3 linked regions of the Yarrowia lipolytica genome follow. The protein of the gene in region 2 interacts with the protein of the main gene of each other region in a pairwise test. Links are inferred from orthologs where the notes say so. Each region holds a gene or a part of one and is shown on either strand. Other genes may lie near its edges. The genes, in order: YALI1_A19483g, YALI1_D14609g and YALI1_E08545g.

Evidence for each region.
Region 1: the proteins of YALI1_D14609g (region 2) and YALI1_A19483g interact in binary tests that used the Saccharomyces cerevisiae proteins (3 or more experiments, as listed by UniProt). The link is inferred for Yarrowia lipolytica from reciprocal best matches to the Saccharomyces cerevisiae genes RPT3 and RPN12.
Region 3: the proteins of YALI1_D14609g (region 2) and YALI1_E08545g interact in binary tests that used the Saccharomyces cerevisiae proteins (3 or more experiments, as listed by UniProt). The link is inferred for Yarrowia lipolytica from reciprocal best matches to the Saccharomyces cerevisiae genes RPT3 and RPN9.

What each region holds. Positions count from the first base shown.
Region 1 is NC_090770.1:1,946,546-1,949,668, reverse strand, and holds YALI1_A19483g (uncharacterized protein), read right to left. Parts: upstream 1,426-3,123; coding exon 640-1,425; downstream 1-639. UniProt on the Saccharomyces cerevisiae protein: Acts as a regulatory subunit of the 26S proteasome which is involved in the ATP-dependent degradation of ubiquitinated proteins. Necessary for activation of the CDC28 kinase.
Region 2 is NC_090773.1:1,459,081-1,462,887, forward strand, and holds YALI1_D14609g (uncharacterized protein), read right to left. Parts: upstream 1,872-3,807; coding exon 657-1,871; downstream 1-656. Other genes in the region: YALI1_D14585g (uncharacterized protein), read left to right, coding at 1-235; YALI1_D14628g (uncharacterized protein), read right to left, coding at 2,529-3,807. UniProt on the Saccharomyces cerevisiae protein: The 26S proteasome is involved in the ATP-dependent degradation of ubiquitinated proteins. The regulatory (or ATPase) complex confers ATP dependency and substrate specificity to the 26S complex.
Region 3 is NC_090774.1:852,635-856,337, reverse strand, and holds YALI1_E08545g (uncharacterized protein), read right to left. Parts: upstream 1,856-3,703; coding exon 590-1,855; downstream 1-589. Other genes in the region: YALI1_E08575g (uncharacterized protein), read left to right, coding at 1-409; YALI1_E08530g (uncharacterized protein), read left to right, coding at 3,284-3,703. UniProt on the Saccharomyces cerevisiae protein: Acts as a regulatory subunit of the 26S proteasome which is involved in the ATP-dependent degradation of ubiquitinated proteins.

The sequences.
Region 1 (3,123 bases), on a different chromosome or scaffold from region 2:
GTAAGAAGGGCGCCCTGGACATTTTCCTACTAGGCACTCTCAGTAGTGAAACACACATTGTACCCTCCCGAGATCAGAGAATACGCTGATACTGGGTTGTTTCTGCTTATACATTCATTTATTTCCGTGACGCCATTTTATTTAGACAACGGCTGTTGTTACAATACCCAAGTAAACTCAAGTAAAATGTGACTTGGGTCAACTAATCCTCCATCACCTCAAACGACCCTTATCACGATCCACAGACATTCCATGGATAAGTAGATACAAGTAGTATCAATCTGTTGCACTGGTCTTGCCCATTTTGTTTACATCAATTATTTGTAATAAAACACAGACAGTCGAGTGAGACGTGACCACAAGTACAACAGTCGACCTACAACATGCGTATGTACATCGTCCTACGACAATTCACCTTAGAAGGACACTAGATGAGAGACGGCGGTTTCCTCATTCAATACACGTACCGTACTATCACTACACACTTTCTGCTCATTATAATATGCATCATCTAGAACAATTCATACTTCATCATGGTCAGGCCAGATCACAGATGGTAGTGACACTGAGATCCTCGCCGAACCGGTACTGTACCGATAGATTGTTGTTTCCGTATCGTATCTCCGATTTGTCGCTCCCTTAGATAATCTGCTCCATCTCCTTGGCGTACTCCAACGAGTTTCCAATCAGTTTCTCGGTCACCTTTCTGCTATTCAGAGTGGCGTCCTCGCTGATAACACCCGGGAAGGTGATTCGCTCACCGTGGATCTCCCAGCCAGGCTGCTCCTGCACAAAGTCCACCACGCCCTGGTCCGAGTCGAAAAACAGCAAATGTCGAGCATTGTTGAGAGGCAGCGAGGTGTATGCCTTTTCGGCGCACAAAGCAATTTCACCCCGGATGGCAAATACTAGAGGGTCGGCGAAACAGAGAAACTCGGAGCTGGGAACAGCGTCCTTGTTGGTGATGGCCTTCCACACCCGGTCGTAGGCTCCCTCCATGATCCATCTCTCTAGCTTAATGGGGAACGATAGAAACTTGTCGTTTTCCACCGTGTCAAAGTCCAACGACTCCAGCTCGGTGTGGAACTGCGCAATTTCGTTCTGCGACAGCAGCAGCAGCAGATAGAGCGCCACAATCTTGGACTCGTGGGGCGACGCAGAAAGACCCTGGATGCCATAAAACTGCCGCGATTGCGCCACAAACCTGGTGAATTCGGCCTCTTTGCCCAGATTGACGGCAGACAGAGCGCCAATCTCGAGCGCCGTTCGAGCTGCCTCCAGGTCCGCCTTTGAATGACCAGACGAGTTGGGCGACGTCAGAAGCCCGCTTTTGGCCATGTCCACCTTAAGGGGCAAAAGCAGCTGCTCCACCTTTTCGTAGTCGCCGGCCTTGTATGCGCTTTCCAGAGATGCGATTGGAGACATTGTCGTTGTGATTGCGGTTGTGTGGTTGAGTGGTTGAGTGGTGCTGGATCGTGTCACTACAGTTAGGTTAAGTGGCGATGTGCATGCACATAGAGGTTAAGAGTATGCGAAAAGGCGGAGTGAAGGGGGTCATTATCGGCTCCACAAGAGGGGGAGATGGAGTTTTTAGGGCCCACAGATGAGTTGAGTGGTATTGATTGCCACCTGCTTAGTCATACATGGGCTGGGGGTGTCATGGATCTGGACTGTTGATGACATGCGATTAACTGGCGGTATGGGCATCTGGGAGACGTGCAAATGATACCATTGGATATGGAAATATATGGCTCTTGATATGGTATTCTGGAGTTGAAGGAGTACCTCTGCTAAAGAGAACGGGTGAGGTTGTGAGACGAATAAGTGAGCTGGAGGGTAACGAAAGAGTCAGAAGTGGATTAGATGAGATTCGGAGTTGGTTGAAAGAGTCAGTTGGCCAATATTACCCCAGGATGTTCTTCTACGGTACAGTACATACTCGTTCAGTATCCAACTGAAAGCTGACTGATGGTGACGAACAAACAGCACCTTATAAGAGGGATAAGGACACGCCGAGAGATGATAAACTGATTGAAATGGGCATGAAAAGAAGGACGGATTTGTCAGATTTCCAATATCTCCTCTGTGGCGTGAGATAGATTCGTTGCTATTTGATAGACGACTGATGTATGTATAGTAGCCAGAAATGCCCGTTTAAGGAATTTTTCCGTTCCAATAATGCACTTGTAGACTTGACACCCGCTCTGTTTGTTACCTCCATCTTTTTTTTTGACCCAGGTCACACTACAAGTACTGCACTGTAGTAAAAGTTTTACTAACTGATCGTTACTTTTTGCCATGAGACAAGGGATTGGAGAGGGCTTCTAATGAGGCCAGTTTTGCCAATATGACGATAATTTTTTGACTGATCGAGAGCTATTGATTTGCTGATTCCAACCATAGTCTTTTCTAGTTTGTTGAGCCACCATTCTGTCCGTTGCATACGCCTTTTTATGTTCCTCCAATATGACGTAATTGTCATCTCTAAAAAACATCTTATTCCAATATTGACCATATAGGCCTTCCAAACAACTGGTATAGAAAGGGGTCAAAATGGCCGCGTTGCTCGAAACCTGTGCAATTCAATTTTCAAAATATATATAAAATCGACTCTTATCAAATCGGGGGTTTTCCCGATTCCAATCTATTTTACTCGATTTTTCTAATTCTGCCCGATATCACATCGTATCCAAGTGTATTGTACTCGCTCGTACATACTCGTACTCGTACTCGTCAAGACATCTGAAACACGTCACCCAAAGACAACAAAAGACACCAGCCAGTGCCGAGACAAGAGGCAGATGGTGCTTCTCTCAGGTACATGTGGAAATTGTGCAATCGGAGTTCTACAGAGTACAAGTACCGCTGGTTGTGCCACTTGTAGTACAACTGTTCTCTCTTGCTCTCCTGTATAGCAGGGTATATATACTCTCCAAGTGCAATACCACCATGTTCCCGCATGAGAGTCGTCAAAAATATACAGATTACACCCATCGGAAGGAGTCACGTGACCTCCACACACTCATCCCCCCACCCCAACGGACTTGTCCCGCTCTTTCTGGCTTATCTCCTAATCTCAAGAAGCGCGCCGAGTTGCTCGTATGTGGGAGGGTTGCCATTGTG
Region 2 (3,807 bases):
GAAGGTAGACATCAAGGAGACTAGCAAATCTACAAGTGCTCCCACGGCCACTGTGATCTCTTCGGCCTCAGCAGCCTCAGCAGACTCTTCCAGCTCTCCCACTTCGGAGAAACACAAAAAGCCAGAAGTTATTGATCTGGACGACTCTCCTCCTTCCACACCTAGAGTCAAGAAGAAGAAGAAGAAGCCCGAGGTTCAAGGAGACTCTGAGTTTGAACCGATTCTGCTGGATTAAGGGACGAGTATGCGAGTGCAGCAACTCGAGTGGACAACATCTCTTGTCTGTGTATGAAAACCGCTGGCCTTTGATCTAGGTTCTCCAATTTTCAATGGGAAGTGCTCAACGGATCATCAGAAACAGGAAATAGGCGTGTTGAGTGAATCACGTGACATCCTTTATGGTGTTCTCATTGTTACTGAATCGTTGTCATCTCGTCCTAATACATGGTTTTGTACCTCGTCAGCGGGCCTAGACGAGTATAGTTAACTAAATGGTCTTATGAGAATTAATTACTTGTGAGTAATTTTAAAAAAACTTATCCCGATTTTCACGAGTCACATCAACTGTTTTATCATTCTAAGCATGAAAATGCAATGTATATACCTATAACTTCCCGCTCCATCTCCCTGCGCTGTCTATGGCACTCGCAAGTGGTTTACTTGTAGAACTCAAACTTGTCCTTGTCGCTTCCCACCTTGACCTGGGCAGAGTAGGCCTCCTCCAGATCGCTCTGGATGATGACGTATCGATTCTTTCGAACGGCCCGCAGACCGGCCTCCTGCATGATGGCCGCGATGATGGCACCAGAAAGAGGGTCGTTTCGAATGATGAGAGCGTCCAGGTCACACTCGGGAGCCAGAGACATCTTGGAGGCGATGGTGGAGAAAATCAGACGTCGTTCTCGGCGGTCTCGCAGGTTGGGGAACTCGATCTTTCGGTCCAGTCGACCGGGACGCAGCAGAGCAGGATCCAGTGTGTCTGCTCGGTTGGTGGCCATGATCACCTTGACGTTGGAGGTCTGGTCGAAACCGTCCATCTGGTTGAGCAGCTCCAGCAGGATACGCTGGACCTCTCTGTCGGCACCGGTCTGTGCATCGAAACGCTTCGTGGCGATGGCGTCGATCTCGTCGATGAAAATGATGGATGGCGAGTTTTCTCGGGCCAGTCGGAAAATGTCTCTGACCATTCGAGGACCCTCTCCCAGATACTTTTGCACAAACTCGGAGCCCACCACTCGAATGAACGATGCCGTGGTGTTGTTTGCCACCGCCTTGACCAGCATGGTCTTGCCGGTTCCAGGAGGGCCAAAAAGCAGAACACCTCGAGGAGGATCAATACCAATCTGTTTGTAGAGCTCAAATTGTGTTAGAGGCAGCTCCACAGCCTCCCGGATCTCCTGCTTCTGGATGTCAAGGCCTCCCACGTCGGCGTAGGAGACATCGGGCTTCTCATCAGGCCGCAGCATGGCGATAGACGAATCAGCCTCCGGAGGCAGAATGTCGACCAGCGCGTTGGAGTGTCGATGCAACGCCACCGATGACGAGGGCTTGAGCAGCTCCCGATCGAGTGTGGACAGGATTCTCACGACATAGTTGGAGCCGGTGGTGGACGCCACAATACCTGTTTGTTGATCAATGGGCTCCAGAAACTGTCCAATCACCAGTGGCACCGACTGGATCCGCTTGACCTCCTCCTGGGCTCGCACCAGCTCGCGCTTCAGGTGGCGCTGCTCGTCTTTGATGTACTCTTCCTGAAGAGAGATAAGTTCGTATTCCCGCTCCAGCTGCTTCAATCGACGGTAATAGTCCTCGGGGGTCGCCGAGGAAGGTAGAGAATGCTCGCCGGCAGGTTTCGCAATTTCTATGGTCATTTTTCAGGTCGGTTGAAGAGAGATTGTATGTGTTGTTGTGTCAAAGAGTTGTGTGGTAATGGGTGAGGTGGTGATTGCCTTTGGGCACGGGTCAACCCTAACCCTGTGGCGTCTTGGAGAAGAGGTGGGAAATGAAGCCGAAAGGGGGGGGCTTATTGGAATAGATTGATGACACAAGGGGAGATATCAGGTCGTTTAAATAGTTTCTGTCTTTTTATATTCTTTATCAAGAAAGTAATACGTGAGTTAGATGTCCTGTTATGTTCTACTTCTTCATGACCAACTATAATGTATATGTTTTGTTGAGGACAATAAGTAAAACTTCAATCTCGCCAAGTTTTTTTTTGGTTAGACTGCAAGTTGGTTTTGTGGTAGTTTTCGATACGCTCTTTCGTTTACTGAAGTGTTCAACCTTCCATATTGCAATATCAGGACAGTGTGTCCAGGTTAAGGATTCTACCAATAGGCCATGTGTACACGGTCAAAGGAGGCATTTGTAATACTCTTAAGAGCTATTGAGTATGTATGAACTCATCGATAGTGAACTTGTACTAATAGTTTACAGCGTCTTTTACCATCTACAATAATACCCATGCGTATCTCATTGCAATATAGCCCTACCCAGGTACACGGTCCTATTCACTCCGTCTCCCCTCATCATGCCACCACCTCAGGCTCCTTATCGAAATGAACACTTCGGGTTCTGGTTCGAGTTCGCTCCTTCTTCTCCTCCTTCATCTCCTTGCGCTTGTGCTCAATGGTCCAGTTGGACACCAGCTCGTCCAGGTATTCCATCTCCTCTCTCTCCTCCCTCTTGCACCGGGTACAGTTGCAGTTGAAGCCCCAGTTGACTCGCAGATTGTATCGTCGGTCATCCAACTGGTGCTCAGGGTTTACATACGTGGTGAACAGTTCTTCTCCGGTCTTGATATCTCGCTTGGCACGCACAGAAATGCCCTGCGTTCGGCCCACGTTCTTGACATCCACATTGGGTTCGCACGAGTGGTTGAGATGACTCTGGGTTAAGTACATGTTTCCGTCCACGTTGTTAATGTTGAACATGCCTAGTCCGGGCAGAAAGTCCTTCTCGTAAGAAAACTCCGTGTCCAATAGTAGCTTGTCCAGCATTTCGTAGCCCTTCTTCCACAGCACCTCAGACTGCTCGGACGCAAACAGTGAGTTGGACTGCTCCACGGCCTTGTGGCGCTCATCCTGGCCGACCCGCGCAAACGCCATCATCTGCTTCTGCACCTCGTCCTTTTTAGGGTCTCTGATGACCCGCAGCCACAGTAGGCCCAGAGCATACAGAGCCATCCAGCCATTTTCCACACAGAAGTCCTCAAAGGCACGCCACTCCACCCTCGTCACTTTCCCATGCCTACTCTCGTGCCACATGGCCACATGAGTGACGTCCTTCTTCTTGCACTGGTTGTCGCACCACTTGGCAGCACAAGACGGACATTCCACTCCATTGTGCGACTGGAAGGGCCGCGAACAAAAGGCACAGCCCATGCCCTTACGCATGATACCAACATGCTCCAGAGGAGGAACCAGCAGAAACGCCTGCTCGTTCCACAGCTCCTCGTCCTTCTTGATATCCTTCTTGGCATATAGGCCCTTGCCTCGGTTCTTGGCAATGTTGAGGGTCACTTTTTCAGGCATATCGAGCCCTGGAGTCGCGTGCGACATAATAGACCCCGCGTAGCAGAACTTTTCCTGGTTCAGACCCAGGTTGGCAGCCTTCATAACCGTCTTGACTCGCTTTTCACTCAACTGCCAGTCCGAGTGGGTCAGCTTCACCAGTCCTGTGAGCTTCGCGGCCCCGAGCTTTTCGGTGGCCTTGTCTTTGCGCCAGATGTCGACCACGGCCTGGACGATTTCTCGGTCGTTGGGTACGGTGCTCATTAGTGATATCGGATGGTAGTCGTAGGAGCTC
Region 3 (3,703 bases), on a different chromosome or scaffold from region 2:
TGCCCTCTTCTCTCTGGCTGCTGCTTCTAACGACCTGGCATGGATGACTCCTATCGCCTGCAGACTCATCTGGGGTTACAAGAACTTCGTGCCTGGACCCTTCTACCTTGGTCGTGTGATCTCCAAGTGTGTTTCGACTTTTGCTGTGCTTTACCTGTGTTTTGCCATCTGTCTGCTGATGTTCCCTCTGGAGGGACCCAACCCCAACAAGGACAACATGAACTACACCTGTGTCATTAACGTGGCCGTGTGGGCTGGCTCGCTCATCTACTACTTTGGATGGGCCCACAAGTGGTTTGAAGGACCTCAGAGCAACTTGGAGCTCGAGGGTATGGAGGTTGAGGGAGTTCCTCAGCTAACAAAGATGAACCAGACGGACCCCGCTCAGAGCGACAAGTCCGTCGAGTAGATTATTTATGTATATTTATTATTGATCGAATCATTATATTGGTATTATAGAGTGACCGCCACACGCAGGAGATACTACATTGTAGCTGCTAGAGATAGTAGAGCCCACCAGGCAGATACTCCGCTGATTACACGTGTCATGATCATACATCTATTCATACATGCTATAAGTCACCTGTGCCTAAGCCTCCAGCCAAACACCCTCACCTCGGTCGTGAATCCATCCACCCAACTGCTTGACGTTGGCGTCCCACTGGTCGAGTCTCTGCTTCATGTCGGCAATCTGCTGCTTGTTGAGCACTCGGGGCTGCAGCCATGTGATAGTGATGGTCTGAGCAACCTGGTCAATGTGGCCCTTGATGAGCTCCAACGACAGCGCCTTCATGACCAGATGCTCAATCTCGTCTGCGGGCAGCTGAGTCTCCTTTGCCACTGCGGCAAAGGTCAGAGTTCGGTCGTTGGTGGGTCGCTTAAAGGCAGCCTCTGTCAGTGCTGTCAGACAGATCTTTTGTCGCAGCAGAGGCATGGCGGCCTCGAGAGGAGGCAGCTTGGAAACATGCTGCGATGTGAGCTTCTCAAACTCGGAGATGTCGCCCTGGTTCAGTGCGAACAGCAGGTCTCGCAACCAAGCGTACTCTGTGTTCTTCAGACTGTCCAGTACGGGATGCAGCAACAGCTCTCCAAAGTTGTGAATCTTCTCTCCCAACAGGGCTGCCACAGACAGTTCATGGGCTCGCTTCTGGACGGCCTCCACCGACAAAGTAGACAGATCGATGCACGCCAGGTACAATAGAGCGTTACGGTAGTAGGTGTTGAAGTCGCCCTTGGAAAGATAGTAGTCGGCGTTGACGCCGTAGTAGGCGGCGGTAATGATGGGATCGACAGAGTTCAGAGAGTCGATGGTGCCGGTGACGGAGTTGAGCACCTCTCGAGCGCCATCCATGTCCTTGAGACGCAGCTTGACTCGTGCAATCTCAATCTGGGCGTACACGTACGCATCCTGGGTGTCGGGCTTGTGGCTGACCTTATCTGCGAGGCTGGTGAGGAAGCCCAAGGTCTCCTCGTCGTTATTGCACTGGGCAGCTGCCAGCACTCCGAAAATGACCAGTTTCAGCTGGTTCAAGTTGCGCTCAAAAACCTGGATGAATTGCGTGAAGATTCGCAGTCGCAGAGGCTTGGATCGGGGGTCTGCGTACAGCTCGGCCAGCGCATCTGTCAGCTGGTGCCACAGCTTTCGCTCCCACAGATCTTCCAACGAGTAGAAAGTTGCGGCCAGCTCGGGATCGGCCTCCATTCGGAGAGTAGCCAGGATAGTGGGCACGTCGTTGTCTATTTCCATTGTCGCAATTGTGATGTCGTGTGATTGATTGTGCAGTGTGGGTGGCAATGGTGATGTTGGTGGGTAAGGTTGGCAAGGATTAAGGTTTAGTAGTAGATAGGTGGCCATTAGAGGAGCCTGATTATTGTGGCAATTATGACTAGTAATTGTAAAAAAAAGTATGTGGATTATAAAAGAGGGTGTTGTAATGCCATAAAATCTTTTCAAAACTTCGGACTGATATCAAATCATGGTGTTGGAGAGGAAATAATTCCTAAAGTAATGGCCGATGACTCGTTGACCTTAAGTTAATTAATTACTTAACCGAATGTTATAACATCTTAGGTTCAATTCCCGCAAACATCACATTTAAAGGAGGGTGCCGTTTTGTGATCTAGATCACTGTAATTACAAGTACAAGTAAATAGTACTTGTGTACAGCTATTGTAAAAAATATAGAAGAGTTCCATAACTCCTTCACTACTAGACTGCTGTACTCATTCGGTATCAGTTATCCTCAAGCAATATCATTTACTTACCAACATCCCCTCATGAGAAGAAGTACATTATTTAGGGTACTAGCAGAAAGCCCCTGATCACCTGATTCTACTCGAGCTGTCCTTGTCTTGTAGCTCTTCTGATACCTCTTCTTCTCATCCCTGGAATAATCTGCGGCTTGTTCTGATACAATCAAACGCAGGCCAGTCCTCGAAACGGTTTTATGCTTCTATTGAGTTCAGCCCATTTCTGGAGTTCTTGTCATCCTAAGCTTGCACTATAGCCATAACTTGAACTGTAGTACGCGGACACTTCCATGCATCTCTATCGTGTATCACGTGAGACGATCCGACCGTATTTCCACGCTGTTAAAAGCTCGCCAGATGGGTTCCAAAATCATCCAGAGGCGTTTCTCCCGAAAGTTTTACTCGTTTATTTTTTCACTGATTGTCTAAAACTTTTAAAACTCTCATTATTCAAATGAAATGTATCAGATGTAAAGCCCAGACGTCGTTAGGTTGACATCATTGTACATGTGAGTTTGTCAAAGGTCTGAAGAGTGGCAAATAGGGGCCAAAAACAGAGTAAGGGGGCAATCATAGATACTTGTGGGTGAAGCGAAACAGATTACAGGCACTTCTGCTACTAGAACTGCCCCAAACAACACAAATTAGTCATCGTTGCACCCGACTGCTTTCAAACTCGAACATGTTTTTCATTATACATTTATTTATAGTTTTGACAATGCATGGAGTACTTGATTGTACTTGTGCATGTACACGTCAACTGTGAATAATACTGTACTAGAGGGGTCACGGTAGTGGGGGGTTATGGGATTCGTATAACAATTCTAAAATATGAATTTAATTCCAAATCTCGACTTATATTGATTCCATTTTTCACGCCACCAAAACCTCCCTTCCCCACCCCTTTTTTCGTCACCCCTTCTCTCCCCCAACACGTGTTAAACTTCTGGCTCTTCTCTATCAACCTTAACCAGATCCCTCATATACAACTCTATAGCGTTCGGAAATCCACTCTCATGATTCAACTACCATCATGTCTTCGCTACCGACACCGCTGCCTCCCTACAAATGGACCCTGTTAACGGCAGGTAACGCCAACGTGGTTTACAAGAGCGATGAGACCGATCTGCTTCTGCGACTGCGACGAAACCGAAACGCCCCTTCCACAGCCGAGGTGGACGAGTATCTAACTGGAACAATCCGACCGGCCATTGGCCCCTTTCTGTTTCACTATACAGTTGTGAATCTGCCTCTGGGGTTCCTCGAGTCGCTTCCCGAGGCCGAGAATCTCGATCTCGGAGAGCCCCTGGGTCTGCTCATGGAGAACCTGGGGCCTAAACCAAATGAAACCAACGTGCTCAAGTCCCACGCAGTCAAAATCAACTACAGCGACAACTGGGAGTCATATACGGTCGAATTGAAGCCCAAGTGGCTGCTTCAGAGCCCAACAGCA